Linked DNA regions of Medicago truncatula. The protein of the gene in region 2 interacts with the protein of the main gene of each other region in a pairwise test. Links are inferred from orthologs where the notes say so. Each region holds a gene or a part of one and is shown on either strand. Other genes may lie near its edges.

Region 1 (10,549 bases), on a different chromosome or scaffold from region 2:
ACGAAATAATATGAATCGTAATATTTAGCCAAATAAGAAAACATCCAAAATATTCCTAGAAAGAAAAAAAAAAAAGATACCTTACATCAATTATACGTTAAAAAGTTATAGCTGCATGTTAAAATCATAATAAATTGTTACTAAAGTTTTTATTAAGCTGTTTTAGGTTTAAGGTTAGGCTTAAATAGTTAAATTTATTAATTAATAGTACACCAAAAATAAAAAAATTATTTATAATATTATATAAATACATATATGCGGGTTGCAGTGCCCATACCCGTGCTCATACTCATACAAATTTGCGGATAATTATCCATATCCAAGCCCGGACCCATGAAAGCAGGGTTAAAACCCTACCCATAGCAGATATTTTTTGCGGATGTCCATAGGGTCTGGGTCCAATTGCCATCCTTTACATTTAGTCAATTAAAGTTCAAATCTCCCTTGTGAGAGAAACTTATATTAACGTTTAATAATTTCTTGAATAATATTGTATCCAATGAAGAGAATTTGTGAAAAATTAAATGTTCGGTTAAAAAATGACAAATGGAATTTTACCGAAACTAAATTTGAAAACCATAATTTATGTTGACATTTTTTTCTTCTAGTTGAGTGTGTTTAACGATTGAACAGTTGGTCAAAGAGTGCAAAGATGGGTTTTGTTTTAAATGTTTTGGGTTGAAATCTTTTTTTTTTTTTTTTGTTTAGTAGGCTAATGGCTAGAACTCACATAATTAAATGTGGTGAAGTGGAGTGTCCGGGGTTCGAACGCCAGCCCCTGCATAAATTATGTAATGTCCCTACCAACTGAGTTAAGCTCACGGAGACAATGTTGGATTCGAATCTTATCAGTCTTTTTAAACTGAGGTAAATGTAATTTTCTTTTTAAGTCTCAATAAATTTAAAGGTATTTTCCAACTTATAGAGAAATATCATCCCTTCATCCTAAATTTTATACTAATAAAAATAAAAGTCTTACTAACAAGTGCTCTTAGAACACTTGTTAAAGAAACAAAAAATTGTAGTTTTACATTTAATAATTTTTTTAACTTTCAAAAAATTGAATTTATCATTTTTCATCATTTCTTTAACCAATACCCTAAGGAACCTCTTTAACATTTCCCATAAAAAAATGTGTTTAAAGACAACTTTTGAAAATGTTTTTTTTACATAAAAAAAGGTTGAAAAGATGCAATCAAATGCAACTTACTCGTAACTTGGTTATTTTTTTTAGATGATATCTTGTATGATGAAGAATATATATGTTCCTTTTAAGATGATTAGTTAGATTAGTGAAGCAACACATCTATACAAATTTCAAATGTTTGGTTGTTTTGAGTATTATAATCGCATATACTTGTGCCCCATTTGTGTTGCACTCTGTTTTAGTTTTATTTGGATATGGATCATGGATGACTATTTTTCTACAAATTAAAATTTAGATTGAAGAATATATTTTAAAAAATAAACAAATAGTACTTCAAATTAAGCTTCCTCGAAGAAAAAGGTTTAGATGGAACATAAGTAGAGATGTAAATGAATATTCATAGATGCAAATTTTATGATATACATGTTTGCTTCATTGGATAAAATTGACATTTGTGCCCTCTCCTTATCTACATGGATATGCGGGTTATCCACGGATTTTGAAATATCCACGAGTATATACAAATATCCATGAATATAATTTTTTTTTTAAAATGATTTTTGTAATAGTTTTTTTTTATAATTACCTAAAATTTAACAACAAATATTCATCACATTCATTTGCTTCTTTTTACCAAAATATAATAATATTCATACATTCCGTTTCATTTCTAAAACAAAGTTCTTTAATTAAAAAAGACATAACTAAAGGGTAATACTATTGATTTGTTTTAGAGGAGAATTGAAGCGACATATAATATTATTTTAAGTATTGTTTTTTTATTGAACTTGAAAGGGTAGTAAGTTTATTAATGTAATTTACTTAATTTACTAACGAATACCATTAAATATGTATTTGTATCCATTAAATAATGGATGGTTGAAATACCTGTTTATTTTATTATGTGACAGATTTTATTCACGGATATCCGCATGTGAGATTATTATGTCATCCCTACAAAAGGTCTAGACTCCCACAAATACGTAGCCAACTAAAGTTCAAATCTAACAATGAAATATACTCACATTTAGTGTTGGATAATGTCAAGATTTCTTCCGATGAAGGAAATCCATGAAAAATTAAAAGTTCGATTAAAAATCTTAAAAGCATATATGATAAAACACAAATAAATTAAAAAATGACAAATGCATTTTCACCAAGGATGAATTTGGTAAAACATAATTTATGTTTGAAATTTTTTTCTTCTAGTAAAAAGTGTGCTTAACACTCGAGCGTTGAGTTACGAGTAAAGAATAAAAAGTTGAGTCTTATATTCGAGGGTTTTGGGTTCAAGTTATGCCGTCTCTTTAAAGGAATTTAGATGCAGTTCTTTTTGTAAGCACTATTTGAGTTTTAAGATCTTTCTGCCTTGTACAACAACACAATCCCTTCACACTAAGTTATATTGGAGCAGGAAAGGTTTGTTGCCAAAGGTTAGACATCAACATTACTAGAAATAAGATTTTTGGCAAGACTTTTTCTCGGCGACAATAAACTTGTTGGCAAAAACATTCATATAGCAACAACTAATTAAAATTGTTGTATTAAGTTTTTTTTAACAATATTGTTATCGTTGGGAAAAATGGTTTGTCCCAACAATAACTATTGTTGTTGAAAATAATACAACTTTTTATATGCATATAACATCGACTAATCAAAGTTGTTGTAATAGGTTATTGTTATTTATAAACAATATCACTATCGTTGGAGAAAGTGACTTGTTCCAACAACAATTTTTGTCGCTGAAATGGTGATTGGTGCATATCCGGAGATTGTGAAGTGGTAGCTGAGCTTGGATCCACCGTGCTTAGCGAAGATTTTCAGGTCAAGTTATTCAGTTTGGGACTACATAGCTAGCTTGAGCTCGATTTAAGGATCCCTGATGCAGGAGAACAACAATGATCAGTACGTGTCATCAAAGCAAAGCAAAGCTTTCCCAAGGAACACAAACCATAATTAATGCTCTGTATGATGCATATTGCTTCTTTTGAAGTGGTTCAATTCATCCATCAAACTCAGGAACAAAACCTTGCCATGCTTTGCTTTGATTTCTCTAATTAGTAATTGAGATTCGAAAGTGACATCTTATCTATATGGGGTTTCATCTTGCCTGGCCAAACTTAGACACTTAACCAATTTAGTTGTAGGGGTGTGTGTGGGTGAAGTAATGGATGATAGGTAAATGGCCAACAATGAATTAGACCCATAATACTTTAGGGGTCCTACTAGTTGAGTTTGTACCCTTCACCGCATGGGAACTATATAGAACAACTGGATTCCAACTTTCAATCCTTTGTTCGTGCGGAGTTTAGTGAATAGCATAATTTGCCATGCACCATCACGTGGGTTTCACAAGTTTACGTACACTTTGTCAAGCACTATATTGTGCTCTATTGGTAACCCTACACTTGTATTTTGGACCACATACATACCTAATATAGTAATATACGATATATTGCAAAGTTGATGCTTTGTGTAGCGCATTTCACCTTTTCGGTTTTGCTTAACTCGAGTAAATAAGAATTCTCCTTAAATTATGATTGTCATTGCAGACAAATGATCATTAATGATCTTGAAGCAAATGTTTTATGTGCATAGTGCATAAGTAGATTAAACACGCAATTAGTTTGCGTGAGTTCTTTTTTTTTTTTTTGAAGGAATAATTTGCTTGAGTTCTAAAATCATGATATGTTTGACGGGCATTATAGTCGACATATTGGACATATTAACAAACAAGTATCAATATGTTCATGAGCTACTGATTCCTTTCATTTTTTTTTATATATCAAATATAAAAAAAAAAAAAATTGGAAGTTAGGTCTTTTTTTTTTTTTATTTCATTTTTTTTTATTATAGGTCTTTCATATTGGAAGTTAGGTCTTTCATAATAATAAAGAACAGAATGTTAGTGCTCCCGCAACACTCATGAATACTCGTACAATCGTAATGTCCATAGTAACTTCCTTGTTTTGAGAAGTTTTTTCCCCAAAAAATAAATTGAAACGAAATATTAAGGACTTCTTTGGCTTAAGAAAATTATTTATGTTCTTATTTTCTATTCTTTTGGTTGTAAAAATGTCTCTAATTTTTTTTTAATATTTTTTTTTGTTTTAAAATATCTGTATATAATGAAGTAAAAACAATTTCTTTTACTAATTCTTATACATTTCTTTAATTTGAAATAGAAACAAAGTGTAAATTTTACAATTTGAAGTAAAAATAGCACATGAAACTAAAACGTTTTTCTCAAACTAAACAGACTCTTGTCAATTTGTGTGGATTTTTTTTTTTTTTTTTTTTTGCATAGCTAAATAGGAGTTTGTTTTAATTTCTACAGGTTTATGGTCACCACAAGCAGAGTATTTATGATTTGCTGCTAAGAGTTTCTTATTATTTCTTCAGGATTGATCAGAATCACAAGTAACTGAGGGCAATAAACAATTTTGTCACTAATGTTTTGGTTGGAAAGGGGTAACATTATATTAAGAAAACATAATGTTCAATCATGTCCAGCACAAAATACACAAGCTGTTCATTTTATAATCAATACCATTAATATCTCTGCATCTGCTTATCTGTCTGTGTCTTGTTTTATCTTTTCATAAAAAAACATACTGTTTTAAGGCTTAATTGGACATTTGGTCCTCTAAATAATTATGCGTTTATATTTTGGTCCCATAAATTGTAAAACTCACATTTTAGTTCTCTTGGTTTTGCTCCGTCGAATCAAAAAGGTCCTAACTGTTAACTTTAACCCCCAAATGTCTATGGTGGACCGACTTTAAAAATGGTCCACCATAGATCCTATTAATTATTCTAATTTAAACTGTTTGATATTTTTTTAAAAGGAGGGTCATTGGATTACGCAGATGTATTTTATCTTACGGTGAGTCAACAACACTTAATTATTTCTCCCTTTCTTCATCTTCTTCCTCACTTTTCTTCATCATATTCATATCATTTTCACCAACATTCATGAACAAAAATCCAAAAGAAAAAAAAAACCATAATTTTTTCCTCTCTTTACAAAATCTACTCCACTCTTCTTTCATTTCCTTTTCTTTCTTCCTCTCTCTACAAAACAAAGCCATACTCTCCCTCTCCTCCTTTCCAACCGAATTTTCCGGCCACCCACCGTGGTGTTTCCGGCCATCTTTTGTCAAACAAAATACATAATCTACATACTCTCTTCTTTCTCTATCTCATTCTGAAATTTAATTTTGGATCGGAGACATATTTTAGTCTCCAAACCGTCACTTTCATTATTAGATCTAGACCACCACAAATTGTTTCATGACAAACCACTACCATAAACATACTCTCCTTCATATTCTCTACAAAACCCACAAAGAAAAACCACGAACCGGTGAATTTTCTCGGCGACCACCGCACCGGAAAACGACCCCACCACCGCGCCGGACAATGAACAATAACATATTTGGATTGGTTTTGTTTACCGCGCCGGACAACGACCCCACCACCGCGCTGCACCGGAATTTTCTTTATTGTGTTGTGTTTTGTTTTGCTGGATTGGTTTTGTGAAATAGATTTGGATTTGATTTGAAGAAAGCTCAGATTGATGGAGAAATGAGAACTGATTGTTGTTGTGGTTTATTTTCAGAATCTGAAAAAAAAAAAAAAGATTTGTGTGTTTCCAAATTTTTTATTAATTTTTTGGGTTTAAATTCTTCTTTTTTATGGGTTGTTGTGAATTGTGATGAATGTATGAATATTTGATGATGAACAAGAGTGAGGGAGAAGAAGAGAGAAGATGATAGTGCTGGAAAAATTAGGTGCCGATAGCTCACTATAGGTATAATGGACATGCAATCAAACGGCTAATATCATATCAAAAATTTTAAACATTAAAAAACTAACGGAGGGGATCAATTTGACTGACGGAGCAAAACCAAGGGTACCAAAATATGAGTTTTACAATTTATAGGACCAAAATGTAAACTCATAATTATTTAGGGGACCAAATATCCAATTAAGCCTTGTTTTAAATATTAGATTTTCCTTACAATTAATGAACCAAATCCCAAAAGTCTTTTCAGAGTAATGATCTTCACCAAATTTTGGTGAATATGAATATGACACTTCCTTATAGCATGAGACTACTACTAAATATGAATTTGGATTTGCAATTCGTGCAATCACATCGTCATAGACGTTGGTGATCATTGGATCAAAATCGAACGGTCGAGGTTTTAATGCATATTTAAATGTACTTTTTAAAACTGAAATTCCACTCTTGCAATCCAAACCGTCCGAATTGGATCAAGTGACCACCAACGTCCTGATTGTGTGAATGCGCGAATTGCTGACTATAGAAAATTGAAATTCGAATATGTATATGAGGGGACACATTGAGTGGACAATTGAGACCAACAAAAGAGAGTAAAGTGGTCATAGCACATTGGTGCTCTCATTTCTCAACATGCTTATAATGCTGCTACTCTTTTTGCCGACCCAACTTCCTTGTTGTCTGTAACAATCCTTGTTCCACAAGACAATAGTCCTTTTCATTCCCCTCCTTCACTCACACACAAACACACATATATACTCACAACCCCATAAGTCAAGTAATCTCAATTACTCTTAGAAAGCTAGCAAGTACCTATCTCTAACCTATTAGCCTAGCTTCTTATGCTTCATGGAACTTCAGTCAGGTCTGGCTCTACCCATTCATAGTTCCATTGAAGGATTCGATCCCTACAACTCTGATTTAAATAATCACATTCGCGGTTCAGAAAATATAAAGTATGTCAAAAACAAACGTAGCTTTGATGAGTCTTTTGGAGATTTTTCGAAACCTTTGCCTCTATTAGTATGGAGTGGACAACCAAATGAAGAAGATGGCCGCAGTGAAAAGAAGAACAGAAGCATTCACACATCAAACAAGTAAGTTCATGCATGGATCAACCATGAGTTTGACAAAGTTACAACGTGTCACCGTAATTTAGACAAAAGTTACACTTTCTAGCTTCAACAAAATCACAGTGCTACTTGACTTTGTAAAATTTATCGTGATTACAAATTAACATGCACTAAACTAGCTGCTAATATGATTAATTTTTTTTATTATAAATATCATGACACCTTTATTATAATTTTTTGATGTACATGTATAAATAGTGAAGGAGAAAACCATTTGGTTGGGTGGCCACCAATTAAATCATGGAGGAAGAAAGAATTTCATGATCAGCAGCTTCCTGAACATATAAGGAAAGCTAATGAAAATCAAAATAGAAGATCAAAACCTTTGTATGTTAAGGTTAACATGGAAGGGGTTGGCATGGGAAGACAAATCAATTTGAGGCTTTACAACTCTTATCAAACTCTCAAAGACTCGTTGATTAGCATGTTTGTTAAATGTTAGTGTCTAGCGATATATTCATACTTCATAGTGCCATTCCTTTTTAGCTTTTGGTATATTTAGTGGATTTGTTTTTTATTATTTTGAACAGGCCAAAATTTTGAGGAAACTGGAGCAAACTATACACTCACATTTCAGAATAAACAAGGGGAGTGGAAGCTTACAAGCCATATAACATGGCAGTATGTGTCTGTTTTATATAAATATTAATGTTACATACTTTCATGGACAAGTTTATATCACATGAACTCAACAGTTATTTGGATCAGGAGCGAGAATTTAGAAATTTGGAATACGAAATATCATCATTGTAGAAAGGTAAGGTGTCTAAAGATCAAATTTATAACTTTTTTTGCAGATCCTTTATTGGTACTGTGCGGCGTTTGGCTATATTGAGGAATGGAGAATGTGAAACTATCTGACGAAGACTATACTACATAGTTTGTACTTTAATGCTGTTGTACTTTGTTAGTAAAGAGTACTATCTCCTTCAATGTGTTACAGAGAGCATAAGCAAAATATGTGAAGTCAAATTAGTGAATTACAATTTACAAATAATTTGTAATAATTTTGATTTTTTTACTAATAATAATATTGTAATTGTTCAAGTGTGTGCAAATAATTTGTAACAATCTCATAAGTTGATAAAAATGTCAAAATTATTAGACCAGACGTCATGACCAGATTCAAACCCTGACACCTTCACTTATGTGTGTGTTTATGATGACTTTACCATTCCGTCTATCTAAAAAAAACTAAAATTTCAACATTTGCCAAATAGTCTTATCCTTTTATATAAAATGGCTTAATAACACAAAAGAATACTACATCCGTCCCTAATTATAGGGCCCTTTTGAAAAATAACGGGAATTAAGATAGTGAAGATTTGTACTACCTCCGTCCCTAATTATAAGACTCTTTTGAAAAAAAAATTGTCCCTTTTTATAAGACCCCTTTGTTATTTCCAACTACAATAATTATTTCTTTACATACATGCCCCTATTTATTATACATCTTTTTCTTCAATCAGCAATAAATAACATGTTGAAAACATAAATCAACTCTCTTTCTTAAAGGATAAAATTGTAAAAACAATAGTAATTACAAACATATTTAATACAAATATTCACTATCTTAATTCCCGTTATTTTTTTAAAAGGGTCCTATAATAAGGGACGGAGATAATATTAAATATGTTTGTAATTACTATTGTTTTTACAATTTTATCCTTTAATAGAGAGGGTTGGTTTATGTTTTTAACATGTTATTTATTGCTGATTGAAGAAAAAAATATATAATAAATAGAGACATGTATGTAAAGAAATAATTAATGCAGTTGGAAATAGCAAAAAGGTCTTATAAAAACGAACAAAAAAAATTCTCAAAAGAGTCTTATAATTAGAGACGGAGGTAGTATGTTTTTAAACCGAAATTTGCCTATAATCATGAAATTGAGAGATTAATTTAGCACGTGTTAACTAATCTGCATGATAACTTGAACCTATAATTTCCCTTCAAAAAAAAAACTTGAACCTATAATTAAGTAGTTGATAAGGCTTAGAAGTTAAGACGAGGTTGGGGTTCAACATGAATAAATTCGTTATGTCCAACCCCAACATTGTATTATTATTTTTCCTAAATAATACCCCCTCCGTTTGTTTTAGGAAAAAAAAAATTGTCCTAAATTATATGTCGCTTTACAATACCAATACAATATTAATGTTATTTTTCCTATTATAACTTTAACTTTTTATTACTTTATCTTCTTTCAATTCTTTCATTTATTTTTCTCATATTACTCCCTCCGTCCCAAATTGTATGACGTTTTAGCCATTTCACACATATTAACAAATGTAATTAATATTGTGTGGGAAAGAGATATTATGAGTTATTTTACAAAATTGTCCTTAATAAATGATATGAGAAAGATAAATGAAGGAATTGAAAGCAGAGAGAGTAATAAATAGTTAAGGATATAATAGGAAAAGTAACAATAATATTTCATTGGTATTGTAAACGACATACAATTTGGGACAAATATTTTTTCTAAAATGACATACAATTTGGGACGGAGTGAGTATTTATTAAGAACAATTTTATAAAACAACTCATAATATCTATTTTCAATACAATATTAATTGCATTTCTTAATATGTGTGAAATGCTCAAAACGTCATATAATCTGGGACGGAGGGAATATTTGAAGTATTCCGTGGCATAGCTACAAATATCGGTTAAGTTCCAAAGTTTCCAATCACAGCATTACATCATACCACCAATAAACATACTTATGACAAGAATTTGAGATTCTTTATATGGAATGAAATTTATGTAGCATATTACAAGAAGCTAGGATCACTTATGGAGTTGAAATAGGGTGGTGAAGTGTGATTTTTTTTTCTTCTTCCATATTTCAAACAAATGGACTAACGTTAGGTATTTGTTTAGCTTAATACTTTCATGAAACGTGCAAAGCCTGAATATGTTGAAAAAACCTTACAATACTTATGACAAGAACTTGTGTACGCAAAGAAAAGGTTCTTTCCACATGCTTTTGACAATAACAAATTTAACATGGTTTTCTCTAATGCATCACAATAATTAAAATAAACAATTTGGTCATTTACAAAAATTAAAAAGAGACAATTTGATTCTTACACTGATAAAACTCAAATGATTTCTTCTTCATTGAACTCACCTCTGACATTTCTTTAAAATAGTAGTACAAACTTATCAACAAATATTGTGTGTTTATGTGAATGTTTAATTAATTTTTAATCTTCTCCTTTTCTTCCGAGTTTATTTAACCGGACTCAAACTTTACTTTATGCGTGACTATATGCATCGTTCTTAACATTTAAGAACAGTTTAAGATGGTTTAGTGGACATTCACATATAAAGACAATTTCTACTTAGGACAGTTTTTAGGGTGGAACAATTCTTAATACAATTTTGAGAATCAAGTGACTTGTAGGGTGTGGGTGAAGTAATTGGTGCTACGTAAAGGACCAGCAATGAATTAA
Region 2 (11,156 bases):
GTCCCCACTGGAACCCTACCTTTTAACCTATAAAATAAAATAATGAATCGCATGGTCCAAAGATTGTTAGACATAAAGGACAGAACCCATGAAATAACGAGGTCCACAACGTGCTCATATATATTGTATGTATGTTTTTTAATAGATGATGATAAGTACAATAATTTTATATCAAAAACTATAATGGGACATTCAACGGTGGTGCTTTCACGGAATGAAATTTAATCACGTAACCACGTTTCAAATACACCAACGAGGGCTCAAGAGAGGACCACACCATCTAGTAGTAGTACTAGTAAATAGTGTCACCACAATTAAACCACCAATTATATTTCACAAAGAATTTTCATTTTCAAAATCTACCTATAAGATTTCCAAAACCACGTGTTGATTTTCTGCTATATTGATATGACTTCAACTTCAATCTATAACGTCCACGCGTATAGTAAGTTACCATATGATATTGACCGTAATTAATCACCATACTCGTAACCAAAAAAATGTGTGAAAAACTACTATCAAGGAAAATTTAATTTAATTATACATAAAGCAAGCAAAATGCAAATTGATTTCCTCAATAAATTTTCCACATACTACTATTACTAGCACAAATTTTTCTACTAAAAATAAGTGTCAATCAAAAATAAAAATCAGATAAACCGCACTTGTATATGAACTACTTAATTACATTAATGGGGGTTGAGGGGGAAGGGGTTCTTGTCTTCTAGAGAGATGGAAAAGAAACTATGAACAAGGATTGATGAAAAATGCAGGTCAATACACCCCATACCATATTGCCTAGCTCAAGACACAATTACTTACTATACTATTTATATATACTAGGACTATATATTATAATTGGAAAGTCATATATATAAATATACTACTAACACTAAATCCACGACACGGTCCAAAATCGGATGGAAACTCTACTCCATATTCTGATTCCAAACACATACTCTTCAGAATTAAAAAGTTACTTGTTCAGGTCATACACATTTTCTCTAACTGGCTGGCTGGCTTTATGACAGTCCTCTACTTCTTTCCATTCCAAAATCCGGAATCTGTGGATAAAACAAAACATTGATCAATGTTCATACCATATGAGATTTTACAAAGAAAAGTTGTCAGTGTTCATACATGGCAACATTAAATGTAGAAAAAGGTTTGCAAGTACAAGGTAACATTATTGAACGAGGAAGTGATGTCACACCTGGATGCTAAGAAAATCCAATCTACCAAATAATCAATTATCTGAAGCTGATTGATTCAGCTGAGATTTAGTTTCTTGTGCATCTCCACCATCGGTAGCTGAATGATTCTCTTCATTTTTTGAACTCAGTGTACCCGGGCTCATTTTCTGAATCTCTTCTTTGGGGTAGATATATATTTTGCGAACCATTGAACAAAACTCCCTGAATTTGAGTAAACAAAAATTATGCAAATAAGGTCATCCTTAAGAAAGGGAAAAAAAAATCAATTAAAAAGGCTAATCAGAGAACCATAAATGGTGATCTTACTGCCATGGATCGTCGCCAACAAGCATCATGTCACCCTCATTATCAGTGAAGACAACAAGCCAATCCTTTTGTGGAGATATTAGTTCACCTCTAAATTCAAATAGCTGATCCAATTCAGCAGTTAATTCGTCATAGTCACTAAACTTTGTAAGATCAACTGACCTACCAAGCGCAATCCCTTTCTTGTGAACCTTAAATAAGAATCATTTCGTTATTACTAACTCGTTTATTTCGTCAAAAAGGTAACAATAACAATGCAGATACTTACTTTCGTGCAGCTTCTAGCAGAACCACTTTGAGGTTTGAGTTGAACATCTTTAACATGAGGCTGAGAAGTTTGCAACTGCTTCTCATGCTCATCAACTATGACTAGTTTATCTGCTGGTTTGGAGCTCTTTGAATGTTCGGACTTCTGATCATTTTCAAATGTGTGATGTTGTGATGAAATTTGCATGTGACTAGAAGTCTCACTTGTAGCATTTCTTTGAGATAATGAAGGCTCCAGCATAGTTGGGCTACTGAGAAGCGAGAAGCCGAATAGCTTACAGTCACTGTCTTTTGGTTTTGCAGCCTCACTTATTTTTGCAGACATTTGTTTCTGTGACAATTCTCTGGAATGGGGACTCTCGTATTGTGTTGGTGGTGGTGGTGGCATCAAAAAGTTTCCGTGTGGATTTTCAACTTTATGTCCATGAAGCACTGAGTAATCACCAAATGCACTGTATCTCATATTCCCTTGAGCTTGGTAAGTTGCATTATCACTGCCTTGTGCAGAACCTTTCATATTGGAGTGCAAGAAATTTAGCGACAGACCAGGTGGCATTACAGGCCATTGAGTAAGCATGTTATGTTTGCCTTCACGGGTACTACCAAATCCCGACAGAAGGTCCGAATACGTTGGTTCCTGCCTTGACATTGGCATCCAGTTCTCTGAACCATACCTTCTTGAAGTAGAAACAGCATCCATCTTTTCTTCATCAGTTGCAGGAGTCCACGCAACAGACTTCTCTGCAGTGTAAGAGTCGTTGCTTTCAGCCAAATTTCCTCTCAAGGTCGATGATTCTTGACCTTGCAAGACCCTCTGGAAACCACTAGTGGGCAAAGGGTCCATGCTTACTTTTGACGATGCTGTTAATTGATCAGCAAAAACAAATCAGGCTTCATACAAAAACCACAACGCAAAGGAGGAATTCTTAGAAATATCAAGTTCTCACAATACCTTCGCGGGTAAGAACAGAAGAATCTGGGGATGACGGCACCACGTTAGCACGGGGCCTTTTAGGCCTGGGCATTGGAAGAGGATTTAGAGCTGGAGGAGCAAGAGCAGGCTCTATTTTCCAAGGGGAAACTCTCTCAGGACGAGGTATGTTAGATGTTTCATCCCATCTAACCTTGAGACATCTCCATTTAGATGTTGGCCATCTTTTGGAGTCGGAATCTTCAATTCCAACAATGGTACCCGTAAACCTACACATACAAAAACCAAATCAAAATAAACCATTAGATAAAGAATAAATGGACATAACCAGCAAGCAGTAGTAACATTAAAACTTAAACAGAGAAAAAAGACATTATTGTTTTGATCATTCACACCTTTGCTCAGGAGCCTCTTCACCCTCAAACCTCATTTTGAACCGCATGCCTATTGTATAATTATTTTTTAGAGACTCCATGTATTGATCATACGGAACAATAAACTCCGCTGGACTAGTCCTGCAGAAGAAACATGAGCAAGAACGGTGTAAACTCAATGCCTAGGGAAATAAATCAGAAAGAACACTCAAATCAGATAATAGTTAGAACAGAGCAGACATGGTTTAAGAACAAATTGCATACCGGGGTTTGTAATAAACAGTGAACATGGTCCCAGTCAAAACAGCATGCCAGGCAGTTGCAAGAACACCAAGATGCATGCTATGGCTAGAGATAACCGAGGATGGAACATTACCCTGCTGTCTCATTGCACGCCTGACACCAACTCGAAGCTCCCCATTCTCACCTCTGGAAAAATCCTAAATTAGTCAAAATCACCAACAACAACAAAAAAACACTAATTCAAAAATGATGTTATAACAACTAAGCAAACCTCAGAAATATAAATGCATCCCCAGCAACCAGCCTCTTAGAACTGACAAAAACACTCCAACCACTCTGCAGCAAATGTCTACGCGGTTGACCTGAAATCAATTCACCTCACACATCAAACACAAAAAAAAAAAAAAAAAAAAATGAACAAAAATTAATAAGAAATAAATCAAGTGGTCAACAGTTTAAGATGGACTAGTAATTACCGCGAAAAATATGCCTAAAACGCCACTCATTCCCATGCAGATCCTTGGCCACCAATTCCTGTGTAGGTGGTTGCTTTGACATATCCTATCACCAAACAACAAACACCATCAATTTCATCCATATGGAAAAACAGAAGGAGGAAGAAGAGGGAACAGAGAACAAACCAGAGGAGGAAGACATTCATCAGCATGTCGTCTAAGTACAGAAAAACCACCATGAGTACTGGTATCAGATGCGGTCAACGTTTTACAAAACGAATGAACATGAAATCTCGGCGGAGGAGCAGGTGGAGCTTCTTTCTCAACAGCATTTTCATCTTGCTACAATATCATCCAGATCCACAATCCAAAACAACACACAAAGAAAAAAATAAGAACATGCTGTGTTTGTTACTCCAAACCAAAGAAACCAAAAGAAAATTAGTGGAAAAACTCACATTGGGCTCTGGTACCAAAGTCACTTGTGCAAACACCTCATCAGTATCTGGCTCCGCCTACAAAAAAATATACAAAAATTAATCAATAATTAAAAGATAAATAATTTTATTATATTTTATAATTACACAAACAAAACAACTGTGTTACTGTTAGAAAAAGAAAGGAATTTATTAAATTATTCAAAAAAAAAAAAGGAAAAGAGGAAAATTTACCTTTAGCATAACGTTGATGACCCGACAAAGGATCTTAGGTCGGAGATCGTAAACCGGCATGTGTTGTTCCGATGCTTGATTTGTTGAAGCTTCCACCTAATGTATGGAATTATGTTAATTTCACCATAATCATCATCATAATAACTCTAATTCTAATATAAAAAAGAAAAAACCCAGATGCTGCTAAATTAGGAACCAAAACGAGTTAAGTGTGACAAATCTGAGTTGACACACAGATAAACCGGTAGCTAACTTAACTAAAGAAAACAAGAACCAAACCATGAAAGATAATTGTCGGAAAATAGGTAATGTTTGTGTTACCTGTTCAATATGTCCTTGTGGAAAATAGAACACAAGTTCTCCTTCTCTTGGAACTGTTACCAAAGGACCAGCACACGCATGCCATAGTTCTCTGTAAAGTGCAGCTTCAGCTTCTGGAAAAATGAAAAGAAAAAAAAAACATTATCACTCCATAATTTGTTACACAAAACCTTAATTACAGATAAAACCACGTTAACGTTGTTACCTCTTCCTGTTGATGACGATGAAGAACCATTTTGAGCATCTCCAACACCATCAACGTTGTTTTCACCTTTTCCGTTGACAGAATTTCCCTTCATAGATACTTCTGATGATGCCATGTTTCTTTCTTCTTCCAGATCTCTCATCCCAAACATCCACTCTTCATGAAAACTCAACAACAACAACAACGTTCTTCTTCTTGATCTTCAAAAACAAAGAAACAAGCCTTCAATTGACGATGACTCGTTCAACTACCCACTTTCTCTCTCTAAGTTTTCTATCTCTCTCTCTCTCTCAATATTTTGTTTTGTTATTTTTATCTCTCTCTCTCTCTAAGATGATGATGATAAATGGTAGCAGGAGGACCAGAAGGAGTGTCGGAAGAGAGGACTTTAACTAGAGTGGTCAATGATTTTAACCGCGGTTAAATGAGATACAACCGGTGATAACAGGTTTACCTGCTTTTCCAACCGGGTATCAGAAGTGAGGAAGTTTTGGTGCTAGGGAAACGCAAACAACGCCATAAATAAAAGGCGGCTCATTGGAAATAAGGGGGTAAGAATAAACGGTGTTAATAGACGTCAAGATAGGATTGGATGGAGAAAGTAACGGCGTTTGTCTTAACGGTCGCGGGAAAGTTGTCATGTTTTTATTGGGAAATGGCGTTGTCGTGCTGTGGACGGGCAGTGTAATGGGGTACGGGTAAGAAGGGTGCATTTAACACCATCCGCGTTACTTAACTTTCCCTTGTTACTTCCTCACCTTTTTTACATTTTTTATCAAATATTTCTACGCATAATTGTAAAGATTAATTTTTTTTAAGAGTCTAAGGAAAAAAAAATTTATTGAAACTTGTGTTTTCACTATATTAAAAATTAAAAATAAAAACTTTTTTATATAAAATTCATAAATTAGTTCCTCTTTTAAATTCTTAACCATTGTCCTTAAAGTACGGATTAACAAGACATTTTTTTATCGAATAAAACTATGATACAAAATTAAACACTTTATAAAAAAAATTAACACTTGTATTTTATTTTATGATATATTTGAACTTAAAACAATTATAAAATACCCTTCATTATTTCATCCAATCCAAGTGTTTATGAATATGGTTTAATTTTAAAAAAAAATATATATATTTTTCTCCTAGATTTATGCATTCAATTGATTAAATTAATTAATTGGAATGAATAATAAATAATAAATTTGTAACGTATGGGCAGTGATATAAAATAAAAATTGATTTTAAGGAGCCGGTTGTATGAGTTGTGATAATATAAGAGGTTTGATGCGCTTGGGCAGTAAGGGCAGCACTGAAACGTGAAGATTGAACAGGAGTTGTCGCCCCCATTTCCGTCTTAGAGATTGCTTTTCTTATCTCATCAACCAACATTATTGCCCCTCTATTGGGGTATATTATTATCTCTACCAAAATTATTTTCCAACATTCCGTGTCGAATGTGAAAAATTCATATAATATTAGTAAGATCCCCTAATATGGGACTAATTGGACCTTTCATTAATAAGAGCATCTACAATGGTAAAGTCTTCACCATTTAAGATTTAATATCTAATAGGTACTTTTATTGTAAATTTTTTTTTTAGGGGTCTTCTAAGAGATGAGGTCTAACTTAAGACCTCATCTTTAAGTGGTCCACACACACTTTTTTATTAAAATAAAGACTTAAATGCTCTTTTGGTCCCTTAACTATTTAATTTGTATCACTTTGGTCCCTTAACTAAAAAAAAGATTGTTTGATGATTTTAAGTATTTTTTAGTCTCGTTTTGGTCTCTTCTGTTAGGTTTCCGTTGGTTTTAATAAAAAACGTTAAGTGTGGACACGTGTCACCTTGTCATTGACTCTGAGATTTTTTTTTTTACAAAAAAATATATTTTTTATAAAAAAAAAAGTTAATTTTTTTAAATATATATATTTTATTTTTTTGTAAAAAATTCCCAGAACCAATGACAAGATGACACGTGTTAACTTTGGGACACGTGTCACTTTGCCATTGGCTTTGGGATTTTTTTTTAAAATATATATATATATATATATATATATATATATATATATATATATATATTAAAAAAAAACTCAGAGCCAATGACAAGGTGACACGTGTCCAGGAGTTAACATTTTTTTAAAACCCTAACGGAAACCTAACAGAAGGGACCAAAACGATACTAAAAAAAAACTTAAAATCCTCAAACAATCTTTTTTTTAGTTAAGGGACCAAAGCGATACCAATTAAATAGTTAAGGGACCAAAAAAGCATTTAAGCGTAAAATAATATGTTAGTGGTGGGACCTATTTAGACTTTTTGTTATAAGATCTTCATTGGAGTGACCGAGTACCTATTAGGTACTGTTATTATAAAATAAAATAAAATGATGTGTACACGTGGGATCCGCTTAAAACCTTCAATTTGAGGGTCTTCATTGTGGATGCTCTAATAATATTTACTACAGACGGTCAAAACTATCCATGGTTATTTCATATAAGTGCTGATTAATAACGGCAATAAAAAGGAAAATTTCACCAAAACAAAAAAAAAATTACTCAATCCGTTTCAAAATGAGTGTCATTTTAGTCAATTGCACATATATTAAGGAATGAAATAAAGTAGTCAAATGTCATAACAATTTTACCAAATTATCCTAATCAACTATTGGTTTGTTTTTCATTAAAGAAAAAATAATACTTTGGAAGTAATGTAACATAATATTAATTGAAATGTACAATTGAAAAGAAAAAGTTATTATTGCATTGAAAACTGAAAGTGACATTCATTTTGAAACAATTTTTTTTTGCTAAAATGATACTACTTTCATTCCTTTTTAATTGTCACATTTTGACGTTTTACACAAACCAAGACAATCAACAATTGATACTATTTTTGATGCAATAAGCTGTACTTTTACTATAATGACCTTATTCATTTAATATGTCATTTCATATATTTCTCTCTCCACAATAAATAACTAAGAATAATATTGGTAAAACAACATTTAATGTTACATTGAACTTTGAAAGTGACAGTTAAATAGGAACAAATTTTTTCTCCAAAAGTGATACAAGGAACGGATGGAGTACTTATTTTGAAATGGAGGGAGTAAATGATAGATTTATGATAGTAAGAGGAAAGTCAAAGATTACGATTTAAGCAATTACTCACCTTGAGATACACACTTTCAATCTGTATCGTTTTTTCTCAAGTAATTCAATAGGTAAAAATTCACTTTATAAGATCAGTAAGATGAGAATTCGAAATTGTGGTTTCGATTTTGGTATACTATCACATCACTCTCAACTGAGTTATATTTATAGTAATGCTCAAACTCAAATTTAATTTTAGTGAGAGATTTTTGAGTGATATATATATATATATATATATCATAGGGGGTTTTCCAAAACAAACTTTTTTTATAAAGGGATAACTAAAAAAAAAAAATATAGAAAAAAAACTGAAAATCACATATATTACACGGATAAAGCATCATCAACCCAACTTTTAATGGATACATCAAATGCAATTCAAACTAAAAAAAAAGGTGAAAATTCAAAGCAAGGATGTTGCCCATCGTGATGTTAACTTTCCATATTGCCACGTGTGCATCGCTTACAACAAGTTTGCCTAAACCACGAGCATTTAACACCCCTTGTTTCTACCGCAGGATCCGTTAGTTTAAAGTACGGCTCAACCCAGTTTTAAATCTCTATAAATACATAAATGAAAATCATTGCCACGTTAAAGTTTTGCACCAAAATATTAAGGAAACGTGTTTTAAAGAGATCCAAGTCAGGGTTCACCTTGGAAACAGTATCGACACATCATCATCAATCTACGCATAATTTCTCAAACATTTTTACAATATTTATGATTATCACGTCTAGTTAAATTTCTTAGATCGAGTTATTGGCAAAGGCTACGGTCCATGACATTCATAGGTCTCCTACCGTAGGAGACCTGTTTTTTTTTTTTTTTTTTTTGAAAAATGGATGTCAACCATTGAATTTACTTTGAAGCTTTTGAATGGCTGAGATTTGCAATAAGTGACCCACTAGGATTGTATTTTTTTAACATATATATTGATTTATAAAAATGCAATTGATTTTGGATTCAAATTTAAGAAAGGATGTTTTTGGCATTGTTGGAAAAACTGGAAAAATTCATAGCAAGCTCATGCGTTCCATGTTTATTCCCTCCAAGTGAAAACTCAAGGGTAGAATGGATATGATAAAAATAACAAAACTTCTCTAACTTGCCACAATTTCCTCTCACAAACACGAAAGAAGTTGAAGCAAAAATAATTTAACTTAAACAAAAAAAATAATTTAACAATTTCCAGATCTAGATGGAAAAATAATTTTTTATTTAAGATGAAATACCAACACTGTCCTTGCAGTTAAATGAATAACTTAAATAGAATTTAACTTAAACACATGTTATTTTAACAACAAAAAAAAAATTGTCTTTTTATACGGTCTCCTACGATAGGAGACCTATTCACCTCTCCTACCGTAAATGGCGCCCGAGTTATTATACGAACTTTTTTGAATCTGCTTGAACCATGTAATCTTTGACGGTGCCGTTTAAGGTACGCAAGCAACATGGGTCTTGTTTGGTAAGAGACTAGTCTTGACAATTTTATTTTTTTTATGCTGGTGTGGTAACTTGTATTTGTAGGTCAATACAATATGAGTGACCTGTTGCTGCCAGTGATCAATATTAAATAAATTACATTAACAAATTAAATGCCAAGGTCATTTTAGGTAGTTTCAATTTGTACCTTTCCTCTTTTCCTTTTCAATCAAACAAGAAAACCAGGCCAGAAACCATTCCTTTCCACAGCTCTAAGTTAGTAATACCTCTTGTGTAATTTTTCTTTTATATTTTGAAATTAAAAAAGTTTTTTTTTTTCACCAAGGAATTAATAATGTTAAAAATATGAAATAACTAATCAACAAATAATATTAGTGATTAAAAATTGCTATCACGCATGATTTGATTATTGGTAGCTCTCATACGTTATTAACTGTTTAGAATATATTTTAGATTGATTAGTCATTGAATATTTTTTCATCGTGATGTATCCAAATAAGTGTTTTTGTGTCCTGCTGTGACATCGGAGTTATGTTTGAAAAAAATAATAATAAACGTTGATAAACAATTAAACATTGTTTTTATTAAAAAAATTGATAGATTAAGATATATTATATGAGTTTGCACATGTTAAAGCAATTAAAAGTAGTTAGTGTTTTTATTGAAAAACAACAATTATTTATTTAAAAATTATATATTTATTACAAAATGTATAAATTTCAATGCAAAATTTCAATTATAAACTTCTTAACATGTGCAAATTTGCACATGATAGAAAAACTCATATTATATATAGAGATCTAGAGGGATATATTAGCCGTAATCCTATTTAATTTAAGTATTACCAAGTTTTCTATTATTGTCTTTAGCGTTAAAATTTTTATTATAATACAAAATCATGCCTTCGTTCATCAAATTAATTAACCATTTAATACCCAACTAAAACTTCAATATGCAAAAAAAGGATACTATATTTTTGTTGAATATTTATTTTTCTTTTCTTGAGTTCGTGGAGCAAAAATATTGATGAAATATAAAACTTTGATGGGAACATATATAATGCACGCCAATAGTTTATTGGGCATTTTCATATTTTTTTCAACTATGACATAAATACCCTTTATGTAAATTGATTATTAATTCAATTACTTTATTAAAGACAAAAATTAAACATTATAATATACATTGCTAGTGGGTCAACATGTATATACATCTGTGGCATTGAAAACTTCTTTCCAGATCCAATGGCTCACAAGCAATTTAAAAACCAAAAAAAAAAAAAATGTAGTCACCTACGGTAGGAGACCCATTGAGGTCGCCTACCGTAGCCAGAGCCATCTTTGACTACCATTCATCAAATTTCAAATCGAATATTCTTCGGTTATCTTTGTGTTTATTGTCTAATGTCTCTCATATGTTTAGAATTGTAAGAATTTTTTTTTTTGGATTACAAGATTGTGTAGAATTGTAAGAATTGATTTCAAACAACAAATTATTATTAATCCTAACTTCTGAAATTCGATTAGAAATACCGAATTATATAAAGATGATAATTAACATTTACG

The links. The genes of interacting proteins can lie anywhere in the genome.
Region 1: the proteins of auxin response factor 2B (region 2) and auxin-responsive protein IAA29 interact in binary tests that used the Arabidopsis thaliana proteins (3 or more experiments, as listed by UniProt). The link is inferred for Medicago truncatula from reciprocal best matches to the Arabidopsis thaliana genes ARF2 and IAA29.

The regions. Positions count from the first base shown.
Region 1 is NC_053044.1:52,827,962-52,838,510, forward strand, and holds auxin-responsive protein IAA29, read left to right. Parts: upstream 1-6,623; 5' UTR 6,624-6,803; coding exon 6,804-7,051; intron 7,052-7,285; coding exon 7,286-7,524; intron 7,525-7,617; coding exon 7,618-7,708; intron 7,709-7,884; coding exon 7,885-7,948; 3' UTR 7,949-8,108; downstream 8,109-10,549. UniProt on the Arabidopsis thaliana protein: Aux/IAA proteins are short-lived transcriptional factors that function as repressors of early auxin response genes at low auxin concentrations.
Region 2 is NC_053049.1:44,355,695-44,366,850, reverse strand, and holds auxin response factor 2B, read right to left. Parts: upstream 5,452-11,156; 5' UTR 5,139-5,451; coding exon 4,988-5,138; intron 4,896-4,987; coding exon 4,783-4,895; intron 4,558-4,782; coding exon 4,462-4,557; intron 4,306-4,461; coding exon 4,249-4,305; intron 4,133-4,248; coding exon 3,977-4,132; intron 3,897-3,976; coding exon 3,812-3,896; intron 3,698-3,811; coding exon 3,607-3,697; intron 3,522-3,606; coding exon 3,357-3,521; intron 3,234-3,356; coding exon 3,114-3,233; intron 2,988-3,113; coding exon 2,740-2,987; intron 2,649-2,739; coding exon 1,789-2,648; intron 1,712-1,788; coding exon 1,521-1,711; intron 1,416-1,520; coding exon 1,247-1,415; 3' UTR 1,214-1,246; intron 1,065-1,213; 3' UTR 560-1,064; downstream 1-559. UniProt on the Arabidopsis thaliana protein: Auxin response factors (ARFs) are transcriptional factors that bind specifically to the DNA sequence 5'-TGTCTC-3' found in the auxin-responsive promoter elements (AuxREs). Could act as transcriptional activator or repressor.